2 linked regions of the Pelodiscus sinensis genome follow. The protein of the gene in region 1 purifies or fractionates together with the protein of each later gene. This does not show direct contact. Links are inferred from orthologs where the notes say so. Each region holds a gene or a part of one and is shown in the gene's direction. Other genes may lie near its edges.

Region 1 (7,889 bases):
GGGGGCCTGGCCACGCCAGGCAGGGCGTGACCCCCGCAGGGGCGCTGGGATCGCACGGGACTGGCCCCGCCCCATGGCCAAGGGCGGGATTGAGGCCCAGATGCGGTGGCTGCCCGGCTTGGGGTAACGCCGGGGCTTGGCCTTGCAGGACATGAGTGCGCTGGTAGCTGCTCGCATGAGGCACGTCCCCCTGGCCCCGGGCTCAGACTGGCGCGACCTGCCCAACATCGAGGTGCGGCTGTCGGACGGCACCACCACGCGGAAGCTGCGTTACACTCACCACGAGAAGAAGAACGGGCGCAGCAGCACGGGAGCGCTGCGGGGGGTGTGCTCCTGCGCGGAAGGTACAAGCGGGTGCCCGCAGAGCCTGAGCGTGCAGCAAGGAGGGGTTGGGGGGCGCTGCTGATTCTTCCCTCCCTTGAGGCTGGAATGCCCGTCTGGCTGTAACGAGCACAGAGGGCGAGCGCGCCTCTTGGGCTATCCCCAGGGCTGCCATCTTGAGGTTAAACACAGGGCCCTTGGCGCTGGGTACTGCGGGCTGCAATGTGGAGGAGCCAGGCTGTGCGCCCGGCTTCCTGGCCATCCGCCCTCCAGTGTGCGCCGAGCGACGTTCCCAGGACACCCCCGCGCTCTGGTCTCTCCCGCAGGCAAACCGTGCGACCCTGCAGACCGGCAGTTCAACACCCTCATCCCCTGGTGCCTGCCCCACACCGGCAACCGGCACAACCACTGGGCGGGGCTGTACGGCCGGCTGGAGTGGGACGGCTTCTTCAGCACCACCGTCACCAACCCGGAGCCCATGGGCAAGCAGGTGGGTGAGCGCGACCTGGCAGGGGCTGGGGGGCGGGGAGGCGGCCACACAGCGTGGCCTTGTGGGCGAGAGCCTCCTGTGCGGGCCCTTGGCCACAGCTGCCTCTCTTTACCAGGGCCGGGTGCTTCACCCGGAGCAGCACCGGGTGGTGAGCGTGCGGGAGTGCGCGCGGTCGCAGGGCTTCCCTGACACCTACAGGCTCTTCGGGAACGTGCTGGACAAACACAGGCAGGTGGGTGTCGCCGGGCGGGGCGTCTGCGCGCAGGAGCCGAGCCCAGCGCCACCCCTAGGTTCACGGCGGGGGAGGGCTCCTGGGCGGGGGGCTAAGCAGGTGAGTGGTGGAGGGCCAGCGCCCCGCCTCAGCAGCAGGGGGCAGAGAGGCGGCTGGGAAGCAGGGTCCCGGGGGGGAGAGGGGCTGGCTCAGAGGGTCACGGGTGTGATCGCACTGGGAGCTCGTGGCCGGATCTGGGCCCGTGTGAGCTCCCCCCTCTCTCGGCAGGTCGGGAACGCGGTGCCTCCGCCGCTGGCCAAATCCATCGGGCTGGAGATCAAGGCGTGCGTGTCGGCGAAAATGAAAGAGGAGGCCACAGGTACCTCGGGGGCGGGCGGACTCCGGGCCTCTGTGCCTGTGCTGAGGGAACGTGAAAACGGAACCGTGGGGCTGCCCTCCTGCGGGCTCGGCGGTCTGTCCTCGGCTAGTGGGCTGGCGTCTGTTCTCCCCCTTGGCCGCCTGCTGCCCACGCTCGACGCCCCCGCCCGGCCCGGCTTGGGGGAGGATCGGCAGGGCCGCAGCTTTAGAAAGGTCCCTGAGCAGCTGGCTGAGTGGCACCCGGAGGCCGCCCCGCCAGGGTCTCAAAGCGGGCGGCTTGTGGGTGTTCGTGTTACGGCGCCGCCTGCTGCCCAGACTGGCTAGTGGCTCCCAACTCTCAGCCTTGCTGGGGGGCCAGGCTGAAGTGGGACCTGGGGTGACGTTGACCCTCTTGGCCCTTGGCAGAGCCCAGCAAAGCAGCCAAGATGGAAGTGGCGGACTAGCCCGAGTCCCCGGCCTCGGACTCAACCATGCACTGATTTTCGTGTGTTCTGTTCTCGTTGGGCTTGCTGCCGTGACGAGGTCTGTCTCCGTGTTCGTCTCCCTGGCGCCGCGGGAGCTGTGTGTGATGGTCCAAGTGTCACTACTAATCATTCGTGATCGGCTGTGCAGTGCCCCACCGCATTCTGGATTTTAAGGACGATGTTTTTATTATGCATTGAAAATAATCAGCCACTTCCTGCGAGTGGCAATTAATACTCTGTAGTTTTTATATGTTGTAATATTTCTTCAAATAAATCTCGCCTGTAAATTATCCCCTCGGGGACGCTTCTGCTTCCCCTTCCTGGCGGCTGTTGCTGCGCCGTGTGTGAGGCGCCGACTGGAAGCTGCTGCGCTGCAGGCTCCCCCTGATCCTGCTCGCCCCCCCAGCCGGCACGAGGCCATGGCTGTACCGCTGCGGCGCTGGGCTCCATGCTGCTCCCGGAGGGGCCCGAATGCAGCACGCCTGTGAACAGCGAGATGTCTCCGGAGGGTGCCGGGGTCTCCAGTTTCTCAGAAGCCTCCGTCTTTCCATGGACTCTGCGTTCTGCTGCTTGTGCCTGGGCTGGCCAGGCCTTCCACAGGGTTGCGGGGAGTTTATTGCTTCTCCACGATACAGCCCAGCACAGATGTCATCTGGTTACAGGAACTGGGGCTAGGAGGCCTCAGTGCCCCCCTTGAGATAGGGGAGTCCCAGCCCCCTCCCCAGCTCCTTCTCCCCTGCTTTCCAGCCAGGAACTAACCACCTCTCCTCCAGCCCTGCCCCCCAGCCAGGGCAGCATCCACCTTCCTTTGTTCCTCTCCATGGGGGGTGGCTGGTCAGACAGGTTGAGAGACCCTCTTTGCATAATGACTCATCCTGGTTTGCTGGGCCGTGGTACCAACTGCAGCCAGTGGGGTTACCCCAGAGCCAGCAGCATAGAAACCAGCCAGGTACCCCCACTACGTCACAGCCACGTGGCCCACGTGTTGAGTAGCCCTGGTCTAGACCATCCCTGATAGAGGTCTGTCCAACCTGCTCTTAAGTATCACGAGCGATGGAGATTCCACAACTCCCCCCCCCCCCTCCCCCGGCAACTTATTCCAGTGTTTGACCCCCTCTGACAGTTGGGAACTTTCCTAATGTCCAGCCTGAACCTCCCTTGCTGCCGTTTAAGCCCAGTGCTTCTTGTCCTGTCCTCAGAGGCCAAGGAGAACAAGTTTTCTCTGTCCTCATGACACCCTTTTAGATACCTGAGAACCGCTCTCATGTCCCCTCTCAAATCTCCTTTCCAAACTAAACGAAGCCAATTCCTTCAGCCTCCCTTCATCCGTCATGTTCCCCAGACCGTTCATCATTCTTCATGTAGTGCACAGTCACGTTGGCTTTTTTTACAACAGTGTCAGGCTGCTGACTCATTTAGCTTGTGGTCCACTCTGACCCCTGGCTCCCTTTCTGCCGAACTCTCCTAGACAGTCACTTCCCATTGTGTGAGAGACACGGATTGTTCCTCCCTAAGTGGAGCACTTGGCGTTTCTCCTTCTTAAACTTCACCCGATGTAGCTTAGACAATTTCTCCAGTCTGTCCGGATCAGTTTGAATTGACCCACTCGCAGCCCCGTCCAACTTAGGACCATCTGAGCACTTAATAATGGCGTAACTGGAGCCTGCACGCCTCCCTTTCCTACTGGCGCCTCACTCTGCCCCACGGGTCTACGAGGGGTGGGAAATGGGGGGCGGGGGCGGCAACGGTCTATGAGGTGGGCTCACAACCCAGGGCCGTGCCCTGGGGCCGTGCTGCCCCTGCCCCAGCGAGGGGAGAACACGCAGGCCGGACTCTGCTCAGCAGCAGGGCAGATCCCTGGGAGAGGCCTGGCCCCTGCCCCGCGGTTCCCAGCTGTTCCCTTTGACGTTTCCAACCTTGGGGCAGGCTTGCTGGAGCAGTGCTGCCTAGTAGGCTGTGCCTTGGAGCCGCAGCGTCTCCCCATGTGCGCTATGGCCGGGGGTCCCAGCGCCCCGCATGTGTGCTATGGCCGGGGGTCCCAGCGCCCCCCATGTGCGCTATGGCCGGGGGGTCCCAGCACCCCCCATGTGCGCTATGGCCGGGGGGTCCCAGCGTCCCCCCACGTGCGCTATGGCCGGGGGGTCCCAGCACCCCCCATGTGCGCTATGGCCGGGGGGTCCCAGCACCCCCCATGTGCGCTATGGCCGGGGGGTCCCAGCGCCCCCCCCATGTGCGCTATGGCCGGGGGGTCCCAGCGCCCCCCCATGTGCGCTATGGCCGGGGGGTCCCAGCGTCCCCCCACGTGCGCTATGGCCGGGGGTCCCAGCGCCCCCCCATGTGCGCTATGGCCGGGGGTCCCAGCGTCCCCCCATGTGCGCTATGGCCGGGGGTCCCAGCGCCCCCCCCCGCGCTATGGCCGGGGGTCCCAGCGCCCCCCATGTGCGCTATGGCCGGGGGGTCCCAGCGTCCCCCCACGTGCGCTATGGCCGGGGGTCCCAGCGCCCCCCATGTGCGCTATGGCCGGGGGGTCCCAGCGTCCCCCCACGTGCGCTATGGCCGGGGGTCCCAGCGTCCCCCCATGTGCGCTATGGCCGGGGGGTCCCAGCGTCCCCCCATGTGCGCTATGGCCGGGGGGTCCCAGCGCCCCCCATGTGCGCTATGGCCGGGGGGTCCCAGCGTCCCCCCATGTGCGCTATGGCCGGGGGGTCCCAGCGCCCCCCCCATGTGCGCTATGGCCGGGGGTCCCAGCGCTGCGCCCTGCGGGAGCCCGGACCCCGCCCAGCAGGGGGCGCCGCCGCTACAGCCCCGCAGCAGGTGCGTCTCCCGGCATGTACCGCGCCAGCTCCGCCCCTCCCCGCTCCCGGCCAGGTGCGGCTCCCGGCATGCACTGCAGCGCCACGCCCTCTCCCAGCAGGCCCCGCGCCGCCATGCCCACGGGGCCGCTCTAGCCGCGACTCGCTGCCCCGCGCGCTTCCGCTTCCGGCCCGCGCGAGAGAGGGAGCGAGGCTGAGTCCTGCCGTCGCCGCCATGCCCACGGGGGACTACGAGTGAGGGGCGGAGCCGAGGGGGCCGGGGGGCTCTCGGGGGGCGGGGCCGGGGGGGGATCTCGGGGGCCGGGGGGGCTCTCGGGGGGCGGGGGGAGCCGGGGGGCTCTCGGGGGGCGGGGCCGGGGCGGGGCCGGGGGGGCTCTCGGGGGGCGGGGCCGGGGCGGGGCCGGGGGTCTCTCGGGGGGCGCGGGGGCGGGGGGGGCCGGGGGGCTCTCGGGGGGCGGGGCCGGGGCGGGGCCGGGGGTCTCTCGGGGGCGGGGCCGGGGGGAGCCGAGGGGGCTCTCGGGGGGCGGGGCCGGGGGGCTCTCGGGGGGCTCTCGGGGCCGGAGGGGGCGGGGCCGGGGGTCTCTCGGGGGGGCCGCTCTGTGACTGTCTCTGTCCCGCAGCTCGAAGCCCAGCTGGGCGGACCAGGTGGAGGAGGAAGGCGACGATGGTGAGAAGCCCCCGCGCGCCGGGACCCCCCCGGACCCCCCCGCCCCTCCCGGCTGGGGGCCGGGTTCGAGCCTGCAGCTCCCGGGGGCCGGGCCCCCCCACTTGCCGGGACGCGGGTGACTGCGCTGAGCTGCTGCAGGGCCAGAGCCTGGGGGTCCCCTGCCCTGGGGCTTCCTCCTGGGGGGGGGGGGTCTGAGGAGGGGGGGGCAGGCTGGTTGCTCTGTGCCGGGGGGGGGATGGTCTGAGGAGGGGGGGGCAGGCTGGTTGCTCTGTGCCGGGGGGGGGGGATGGTCTGAGGGGGGGGGCAGGCTGGTTGCTCTGTGCCGGGGGGGGGGATGGTCTGGGGGGGGGCAGGCTGGTTGCTCTGTGCCGGGGGGGGGATGGTCTGAGGAGGGGGGGGCAGGCTGGTTGCTCTGTGCCGGGGGGGGCAGGCTGGTTGCAGCCTCTCCCAGCCCCGGGGCGGAGGGGGCGTCCTTCCCCTCCCATCCTTAGATCAGTGCCGCGACCTCGCTTCTCTTCCCAGACAAATGCGTCACTAGCGAGCTGCTGAAGGACCTGCCCCTGAGTGGGGGGCTGAGCGTGACCCCGACCGTGACCCCCCAGAGCGTGGACCTGAGCGCAGATGCTGAGCTGCTGAAGGGAGGTAAGAGCCGCCGGGGTGCAGGACCCCCTGCCAGGAGCACCTGGTCTCACAGTTCTTACCGGCTTCCCCTTCCCTCTGTAGGTCCTCTCCCGTCCCCAAAGGAGCTAATCAACGGGAACATCAAAACCATCACAGAGTACCGGGAGGAGGAGGATGGGCGCAAAGTGAAGGTGAGTGGGGGGGGCGCTGGAGAGCAGGCCCTAGAGTTCCCTGGGCTCCCGGCTGGAATCCTGCGTCTGCAAAGCCCTTCCCAGCCCCTGAGCAGTGGGGCTCCCCAGTCTGGGGCTTCATTTGCTTTCGCTTCTCGGCCACTTTCTCCTAATCGCAAGGACTGGCCCTGCTAGGACTCACCCCCCTCCGAAGCCCCCACGCGCCCTGTGGCCCTCCTGCCCCATGGCCCGGCAGGCAGGCATGGCAGCTGGAGCATGGGGTGGCAGGCCCCCCCCGGCAAGCTGTGACCCCACCTGACCCCAGGGCTCTCAGCGACTGGTACTGTGGTCAGTCCAAAGCAGCCGGGAAAGGCCTCGAAAGGAGCTCGCAGAGCCAGGGGGCTGCTGAGTCCAGAGCCAAGGGCCAGGGTGGCTAGAAATGGAGTCTCTGGCCTCTGTCAGAGGCTGGGAATGGGCAAGGGGGGCGGCTCACTGGAGGGCTCTGTCCGGTCCCGCTGGGGCGTCTGGCAGTGGCCGCTGTCGGCAGCCCGGACCCTGGGCTGGGTGGGCCGTTGGTCTGACCCCGCCGGGCTGCTCTTCTGTGCTTATGTCCCAGATCATCCGCACCTTCCGCATTGAGACCAGGAAGGCCTCTAAGGCTGTGGCGCGTCGGAAGGTGAGTGAGCTCGGCCCTGGCCGCTGGCCGGGGGGTGGGATCACAGGTGTGTGCAGGGCGCTGGGAAGTGCCCCAGCCTAGTCCCACCCCACTGCTCCCCTGGGAGCCCCTTGACCTGCTGGGCAGCAGAGCTGGGTCCCGGTGTCAGCCGGGGCTCCCGTGCCTGCAGGACGCTTGGTGTCAGGGCCTGAGACGGCAAGGCCCAGGGAGTGCGTGTGGGGAACGGGGGGACGGTCTCCTCAGCCCCTCCCCCACCAGCTCATTGGCTCTTGCCCAGAACTGGAAGAAATTCGGCAACTCCGAGTTCGACGCTCCGGGCCCCAACGTGGCCACGACCACCGTGAGCGATGACGTCTTCATGACCTTCATCACCAGCAAGGAGGTGAGGGCAGAGCGGGGAGTGGCGGGGGGGCCCAGGGCTCTGACAGCAACCCATGGGCCCTCCTGCCCCCGTGCGTTGGAGCTGGGCTGCTCTAAGAGGCGGGGGGAGTCCAGGCTCGCCGGGGTGGAGTCCGGGGCCCTGCCCCTGGCGAGGAGGGCGCCGTGGGGCTGACGGGGCTCCCCCTCTGCTGTAGGACCTGAACTGCCAGGAGGAGGAGGACCCCATGAACAAGCTGAAGGGGCAGAAGATCGTGTCGTGCCGGATCTGCAAGGGCGACCACTGGACGACGCGCTGCCCCTACAAGGACACGCTGGGCCCCATGCAGAAGGAGCTGGCCGAGCAGCTGGGCCTGTCTACGGGCGAGAAGGAGAAGCTCCCAGGAGGTGCGGCTGGGGAGGGCAGGGGGCACAATGGGGCACTCTGGCTTGACTGTGGGCTGGCCAGCGGGGGCAAGGCAGGTCCCCAGGCGTGGGAGATGGGCAGGGGGCTGTGTCCAGAGATCTGGGGCTATGTGAAGGCTTAGTGAACCTGGCTGTGCTGCCTTGCTGTATGCTCCCACTGGGTCCCCCAGTGCCAGGCGCCCCTGCTGCTCCGGGTCTGGGTGCAATTGAGTCCGCCCGCCTGGCCGCACCCAGAGCTTAACCCGCCTTGCCAGCTCGTTGACTAGCCCACCCCTGGCGTGGCTGCTCTGCCTCT
Region 2 (7,302 bases), on another chromosome or scaffold:
TTCAAATGTGCCCACGAAAGCTCATGATACCATTGACATGTTTTGTTAGTCTTTAAAGTACTACAAAACTATTGTTGTTTAAGTTTATCCTGTACAGACTAACTTAGCTACCCGCTGAAGCGTTTAGGAGGAGTTCTTGAACAGACAGAACAGACAGATTCGCTCGCCCATAAACAAACTCTTTCAAATATATAATAGATTGCTTAATTTATAGCAGTGAACTGCAAAGCTTCATGTGGCCTGTACTTTGAAGGTCACACCAGTGATTTTAACCATGAACTTTGTGACTCATGAAGGCATGACTTTAAAGTGGGGGGGGGGAATGATTTCTGTCTCTTCAGAGCCAGTAGTTTCTAAATGAACACAATTACAATTACTTCCAGTCAGTAAAAGTACTTGAAATCTAAAGTCAGATTTTCTCAGATGAAATTAAAAATTTGCCCCCCAAAACAAAGAATCTACATTTATTTTTGGGTATATTTTATATAAAGATCACTAAAAAGTGATGTTCTTTGACAGCACTCATTGGATTAATGTGCTTGCACGATACATTCGGACTAACATTTTAAAAAATCTATTAAATTAGTTATAACACTATATATTTTATAAAATATAGATCTCATTTGCATCTCAATACCATGTAATCAGACCTGACTGGAGTTATTCATTAGGTCAAAATGCTGCAAATTCAAAGCCTCTGTTGAACCAGCCATGCTGTGATGTTGGCAGCAGCACACTTTTAGTAATTTATTAACTTCACATGTGTTGTACTATGAAGGAAAAGTCACAGAAAGGAGGCACTGAGAAAAATGATATGTCCAGGCATATTGTCACAGTAGAGGAATTTCTTGTTGTACATTTCTTGCATCTTGCATTCTGATTATTTTTTTCCTCTTGATAATTGTCTAGTCTCACATGTTTTGGAGATACATTTCCTTGTTTTGGATTTACATTTTAAGGCAGTTTTTAAAATCTTTGCCTTTTGAGGGAAATAATTATTTTGTGCACATTTTAAAGAAACATTTGAGGATTTTGTATGTCATCCTCAGACAATCAGAGCTCAACATAGTTCTGAATATTCATTTTATAGGCCAGTGTCTTGCCCTGAACACTAGCTATTCAGTAGGTTGAGAACTTGTATAACTAGGGCAGTAGCAGCCATGATGTAGGAGGGCCTTGTTAGAAGACAGCACTAAAAACTGAAAAACACACATTCTCTGGTAACTATACTCCAGCTCTGCTGCTACTGCTGAGGAACCCTGTTTTTCATTGTAATGTGTCACTGATCATGTCCTTAGTAGCCTGGCTTTTTCTTTGTGTCCTCTTGGAAAATCACATTTATCAGCCACCTTTGCACTTTGCTGTTCCTTTTTCCGACAGACCAAAAAAAAGCATTTCAGAGTCACAAAAGGTCCAACAAGAATATTCCCTCTGTCTATGATAACTTGGTACTAGTGATGGCCTAATGTAAACATGGCTTGGAAACCTAATCTTGTATACATTTTATTCTCTATTGTTATTAATCATTTTACTTTATTTCTGAAGTACTTCACTCCATCCTTTTCTTTTACCTTTGCCTAACACTCAAAATACTGTACAATATTAGCATTAAAATATGCCAAATGACAAGGACTAAGGTTTCTTCTGCTGTTATCTGAGTATATTTAAAAGGGAGCAAAGAACACTAAGACAGAGAAGTAATGAGTATATTTAATTGTATTGATAATATCTCAGTAATACCCATTTCAGGCCTTGCCACTTTTACATTATTTGTATTATACAATAATAAAAATATTAAATTCCTGCTTTATTAGGAGCCTTCAAAAACCCTAATGCTGGCTCTGTTTGGTACCATTTAGGGGGAGTGAAAAGGAACAAGGCATTAGTGGTAGCACCTAGCAATTAAGATACTGGGTTAGAAGGAGTGGAAGATGGGCAAAATGGGTTGAATTTCATGTCCTTTATAAGACTTAATATTTTTCAAAATAAGCTCCCAAAGCTAGCCCCACTCAGTGCCCCTATCCAGTGAGGAAGGGAGCTAGCAATATTGTTGACAGGAATTATAACTTCTGCCATCATAGGGAACAGAAAAATAGGGGTCAGAAAAGACAGGGCACAAGGCCTCCCTAGCATGAGGGGGCAGCAGGCAGACGAAGGAATGGAAGGGGTACAGATCCCCTGGTTTGGGGGAATGAGGGAACACATAAGGGCTGGGGCAAGAAACAGGGATTGTTCCGCTTTCTGGGCTTTCCCTGCTTTTATTAAAATTAAGACCGTATCCTGAAGACATCTCTGCTCATTTGTCCAGTAAAGAGGAGAGTTAGTAGTAATGGAGACTATATACGGCAGACCCAACTGGAGATTCATGCCCCTTTGTGGGGTTGGACCCTGCTCAGTGCCACATTCATACCACAACTAAGCTGGCAGAAATAAGGACAATAACTGTGTAACAGGGAGACCAGGGTTTTCATGTCTCTTTTGAGAGGCAAGACAAAAGTAGTAGGCTGCATGCCTGCTTCTAAAATTAGCTTTTTAAACCCCACTCCAGATGGGTTCTTTATTGGCTGAGCAAAATTAGGCCAGACATTGAAATTGATATTTCTCTGGCTGTATTGAAAGCAATAACTTTTGAACATGGCATTCAATCAATGTAAAAGCATCAGGGAATGTTATAGACATCAGTGGTCAAAATCCTGTTGATTTTAGGGAAAATGTACAAGGGGGACATACAGTGCCTGGTGGATCTGATTTGCAAACCCTTTCGTTCATCTTTGTAAGGCTTAGAGATCAAAGAACTGGTTAACAGCAGCCATCAGCACCTTCCAGCATAATAGAAATAGTTTAAAATGTTGACATACTGGGTGTGTCTAGACTACACATCTCTGTCGACAGAGAGATGTACATTAGGCACATCGAAATTGCTAATGAAGCTGGGATTTAATTATCCTGTGCCTCATTAGCATAAACATGGCTGCCGCTTTTTTTAAACTGAGTTTTTTTAGAAAAAAACGGCAGTGTAGATGCGCATCTGTTGAAAATAAACCCTTTTCCGACAGCTCCTTTAAACACAGGGGCTACGAAAACACAGGAGCTGTCGAAAAAGGGTTTATTTTTGACAGATCCACGTCTAGATTGCCATTTTTTTCGAAAAAATTCTGTTTAGAAAAAAAGCGGTGGCCATTTTTATGCTAATGAGGCACAGTATATTTAAATCTCAGCTTCATTAGCAATTTTGCTATGCTTGATTTGTATCCCTCTGTGGACAGAAGGATGCAGTCTAGACATAGCCTCTGGCTTACCAAAAAGGGAGAAAGGAGGGATTGGGGAACCACATGGGAGTCCATGGCACAGGAGAAGAATAAAGGACTTTGGTATGGGGAAGGGGAGGCTATGTAGCCCTTGGCATGGGAGGAAAGGGGAGCCACAGTGCCCTGGCATATGGCAGTGAAGGGAGTGGGTGCATGCAGACTCTGCCACATCATCTATGGAAAAGAGGGGGCACAAGGAGCTTCTGTCATGGGGCGGCAGGCAGAGGAAGGAATGGGAAAGATTTAGAGCCCCTGGATGGGGGATGAGGGGACAACGAGCCCTTGGCAACAAGGACTGGGGCACTGATTGCAGGGGCTCTTTGCACTGGAGGGGTATTATGTACACAGGGCTTGGGGATACAAAGAGCCCCAGAAGGGTGCACTGCCTGAGCTTAGCCTCCAGAAACAAGGGAAGGGGACAACCCGTTTCCCAGCGGTGACCAGCACCATTTCTGAGCTCTCCCCTCACCCACCAGCAGCCAAAAAGACCAACCACCCTGCCTGCCCACCCCTCCCCCACTTGACGCACAGCCCCAGCAGCCTGGGCTCTTGAATGACTCATTCTTTTCTTCCTCCTCCTCCCCCCCCCCCTCTAGTTCTCGCGAGTTTTGACCTCTATAGACGCGATGTCCTTTAGAGCGCAGGGGGGAAAGAGAGGGGATTGATTGACACGAGCGACAGCCAATAATTTAGGCGGAGGGCGAGCGGCTAGCGAATGGCAGTGCGAGGGTGGTGCGGCCCGCCGCTGGCTGATTGATCCCAGCCGTGGCGTCGCTCAGTCGGAGCGAGAACATTCTAGAGGTGAGTACGCGGCAGCCATTGCAGGGGCGACCAGCAACCGCCCCCTTCGGCTTCAGCGGCGTCCGCCCCTCCCCTTCCCAGGTGCCGCCGTTCACGGTGCCCCTTGTGTCTCCCCCGCAGATTGACTGGCGCCGCCGCCGCCGCCGCTGCTGCTGATTCCGCCCGCCCCAGGACGCTCGGATCCGGCGGCTGCGGCGCCCGCCTCCTCTCCGCCCCGATATAAGCGCCCATCGGTCCCGTTCTCCTTAAAGACTCGGCTTCGTCGCAGCCCGGGGCGAGCAGCGTTGGGTTTATGTCTTTATTGGACGAAAACGGTGAGCGGCTGCCGGGGCGCGATCCGAGGGGGAGCGTCCCGGGGCGGGGGAGCGGGGTCCTCGCAGCCCCCTCGGGCGGCGGGCGAGGTTCTCGAGAAGCGGGGGCAACGGGTGGCGCTGACCGCCCCAGTCGTGGTGGCCTGTTCCCTGGTCCCCGTGCGACGAGGCAAAATGGCGGCCGCTGGGCCCGCGCCTCGTGATGCTTGGGGGGGGGGGGAAGCTGTGTGGCGCAGCTAGAAATCCGCAGCGTGGGGGGGCTGCCCTCCAGGGGTTACATCGGGAGGGGCGAGTTAGAGGGGAGATGCCGCGGAGGCCCCCGCATGCGCAATGGGGGCTGCCCCCCCCTCCCATTTTCTGTTTAGGGCTGACTCAGTGCTTCCCTTCGCTGCATTTATGAGTCATCCCATGGCTGAGGCGGGCGGAGGCTGCTCGCTCAGCGCGAAGGGATCCGGAGGCGGTGTCAGGAGGTGGGTGGAGGCTGCGGTCGGCGGCAGACAAAAGCCAGTCATGTGTCGGAGACCACACGCTTTCCTGTCTCCTTCTTCCTGAAGTACCTGGTTCCTCCATGACCGTGCAGCCACGTGTGTCGGCCACATGATGACTGCTTTCAAGGTGCTGTGGCAAGCACCTCTGGGAATGAAACTCAATCCACTGTGCTTAACCCCCACTCCCTCAAATACAAGGGTTCTTCATTGCTGCTCTTTGGCAAGACTAAGCCTGATTGTGTCAACTAGCTCCCATGGTGTAAGCTGGGGTTGTTTTTTTTTTTTTTTGCATAGTAAAACTCAAGGGCTCTCTAGTTTCTAAAGCTTAAAATTAGTCTAGTGGCACTCTAACAAATTTATTCATGTATTGGATTGTAGTCTTTCGTGAGCTACAGCTCACTTTCTTCTGAGGAAGTGTTGTGGCTCATGAAACCCTATGCTCTAATGCCCCACCAGATTCCTTGTTTTTGCCATGCAGACTAACAACTACCGCTCTGAAATCTTTTTTAAAATTAGCTTTCACTCCTAGGATTTTACATGTATTCTGGGGAAGAACTGTCTGTTATATTGGAAAGGGAGCTGTGAGCATGGTTAGGTGATCTAACTCTTTCTGGGGAGAATAAAAGTAGAGAAACTAAAGGTACCATTATTTGTCAAAACCAAGTTAACCTTTGTGGTATGCCATCCACTATACCCCATCCAGCTAACTGCCTTTCTTGATCAACTACTTTAAATGTGACTTCCAGGTAGTGCTACTAAGTATTGGGGAAACAGTGGGTTTTTTCCAGTATGGAAAAACGCATTCTTGCACAAAATGCCTGAAACTATAATGGCAACAAAACAGCGCATTTCTTTCAGAATAAGCTACTTGAACTAGCAATGTGTTAGTGTATCCAGTCATTCTAAATAACTGAAAAGATTAAACTTGTCTCGAGCAGTATCTCACTAACTGGTGAGTCAATATTTAATCACAGTACCATTAGAAAATAGGTAACCTTTTCGTAACAGCAAATATTTGGTGTAAGTGATGCAATAATAGGGTTCTTCTGAGATGCTTGGGAAGGATTGGGTCAGTCAATGAACATTTATGTGCCACAGAAGTAAGTCTAGAAATGTAAAACAGCTTAAATATTTGGAGCGTGTCTGGTAGTACTAGGTATTTCATGGCACTCTGGATAATTAGATGTAAGTAAACCAAACAGTTAAAAATTAGCCTGATCAGTAATACCATAACCAAGGGAACTTGAGGTCTGTTTTTTCTTTGACTGCTTTAGAAGAAGCCAGAAGACTTTGCATCCTGTGCCCCTTAATAGGCAAGGATGTTGTGTGTCATACTTTTCCCACCCATCTGATCATACAACATTCCTCTGATAACACTAGTAGGTGGAAACGGAGTGGGGAGAGGATGTTGCATCCTGTGTAAAGTTGGCATTTTGCAGAACAGCAGATGTTACAGTAGCAGATGTTCAGCTGCAGATCCTCAACAACAATTACACAGGCAAATATAACTAAATGCATAGGAAACTCTTGTTCTCCAAATAGTCTCACTTCTCCTGGTCACAACAAACTTCAGATCCAATAATGTCCTGCAGCATGAATATATTTGATGAAAGTTCAGCCTAAACTGTCCCCTTTATTTTTTTTAATTTATACACTTGCAGAGCTGTTGCGCAGCCATTGGTACCTGTATTGGGGGAACATAGCATACAAGCAAGAACCTTACAGCCTCAGTGGCAAAAACTTTTTCATGTCAGAGACCGAGAACTCTTGCAGTCGTTTATGTCATCCCGTCTTCTCCAGACAGAAGATACCAAAAAGCTGCAATCAAAGATCTCTTCATCTTATTGATAAAGCTACTAATAAGACAAAATGTCTGTCAATGTCAACCGCAGTGTTTCAGATCAGTTCTATCGCTACAAAATGCCCCGTCTGATTGCAAAGGTAATGCTTCCTGATCTCTAAAGTTTGTTATTTTATAGAGCTTTTTATTGACGTATCTTTTCTAAGCATTTTGAATCAGTATTGTTCCCACTTTTTTTCGAAAAACAATGATATGAAGTGACTTGACCAAGGTCACACAGTAGGTAAATGGCAGAGCTGGGAATAATGGACACCAGCTGTCCTGAGTGTTAATACAATGCTTTGTCACTATACTCTAAGTTTTCTTTAATACTGATACTGCTTTTAAACAGTGTTATAGTGACATAAATATCTGAGTTTAACTTTTCCCCTTAGGTTGAGGGCAAAGGAAATGGAATAAAGACAGTTATAGTCAACATGGTTGACGTTGCAAAGGCGCTTAATCGGCCTCCAACGTGTAAGTAACATGAAATTCTGTAATCTAAGGGAGGGGTGGTCCTTGTTGGGTGCTGTGTAAAAATCATGTTGAGAAAG

Evidence for each region. Proteins that work in one complex are often made in the same cells at the same time.
Region 2: the proteins of EIF3G (region 1) and EIF5 purify together in Homo sapiens (affinity purification with western blotting; 3 studies listed by BioGRID and IntAct, with this or other methods). This does not show direct contact. The link is inferred for Pelodiscus sinensis from reciprocal best matches to the Homo sapiens genes EIF3G and EIF5.

What each region holds. Positions count from the first base shown.
Region 1 is NC_134729.1:14,996,125-15,004,013, reverse strand, and holds the start of EIF3G (eukaryotic translation initiation factor 3 subunit G), read left to right. Parts: upstream 1-4,752; 5' UTR 4,753-4,891; coding exon 4,892-4,911; intron 4,912-5,297; coding exon 5,298-5,344; intron 5,345-5,866; coding exon 5,867-5,986; intron 5,987-6,067; coding exon 6,068-6,156; intron 6,157-6,751; coding exon 6,752-6,811; intron 6,812-7,088; coding exon 7,089-7,193; intron 7,194-7,386; coding exon 7,387-7,576; intron 7,577-7,889. Other genes in the region: DNMT1 (DNA (cytosine-5)-methyltransferase 1), read left to right, coding at 149-344, 648-811, 927-1,043, 1,311-1,401, 1,806-1,843. UniProt on the Homo sapiens protein: RNA-binding component of the eukaryotic translation initiation factor 3 (eIF-3) complex, which is required for several steps in the initiation of protein synthesis.
Region 2 is NC_134714.1:20,702,772-20,710,073, reverse strand, and holds the start of EIF5 (eukaryotic translation initiation factor 5), read left to right. Parts: upstream 1-3,953; 5' UTR 3,954-4,109; intron 4,110-4,229; 5' UTR 4,230-4,423; intron 4,424-4,711; exon of another isoform or gene 4,712-4,890; intron 4,891-6,569; exon of another isoform or gene 6,570-6,708; 5' UTR 6,709-6,777; coding exon 6,778-6,849; intron 6,850-7,143; coding exon 7,144-7,225; intron 7,226-7,302.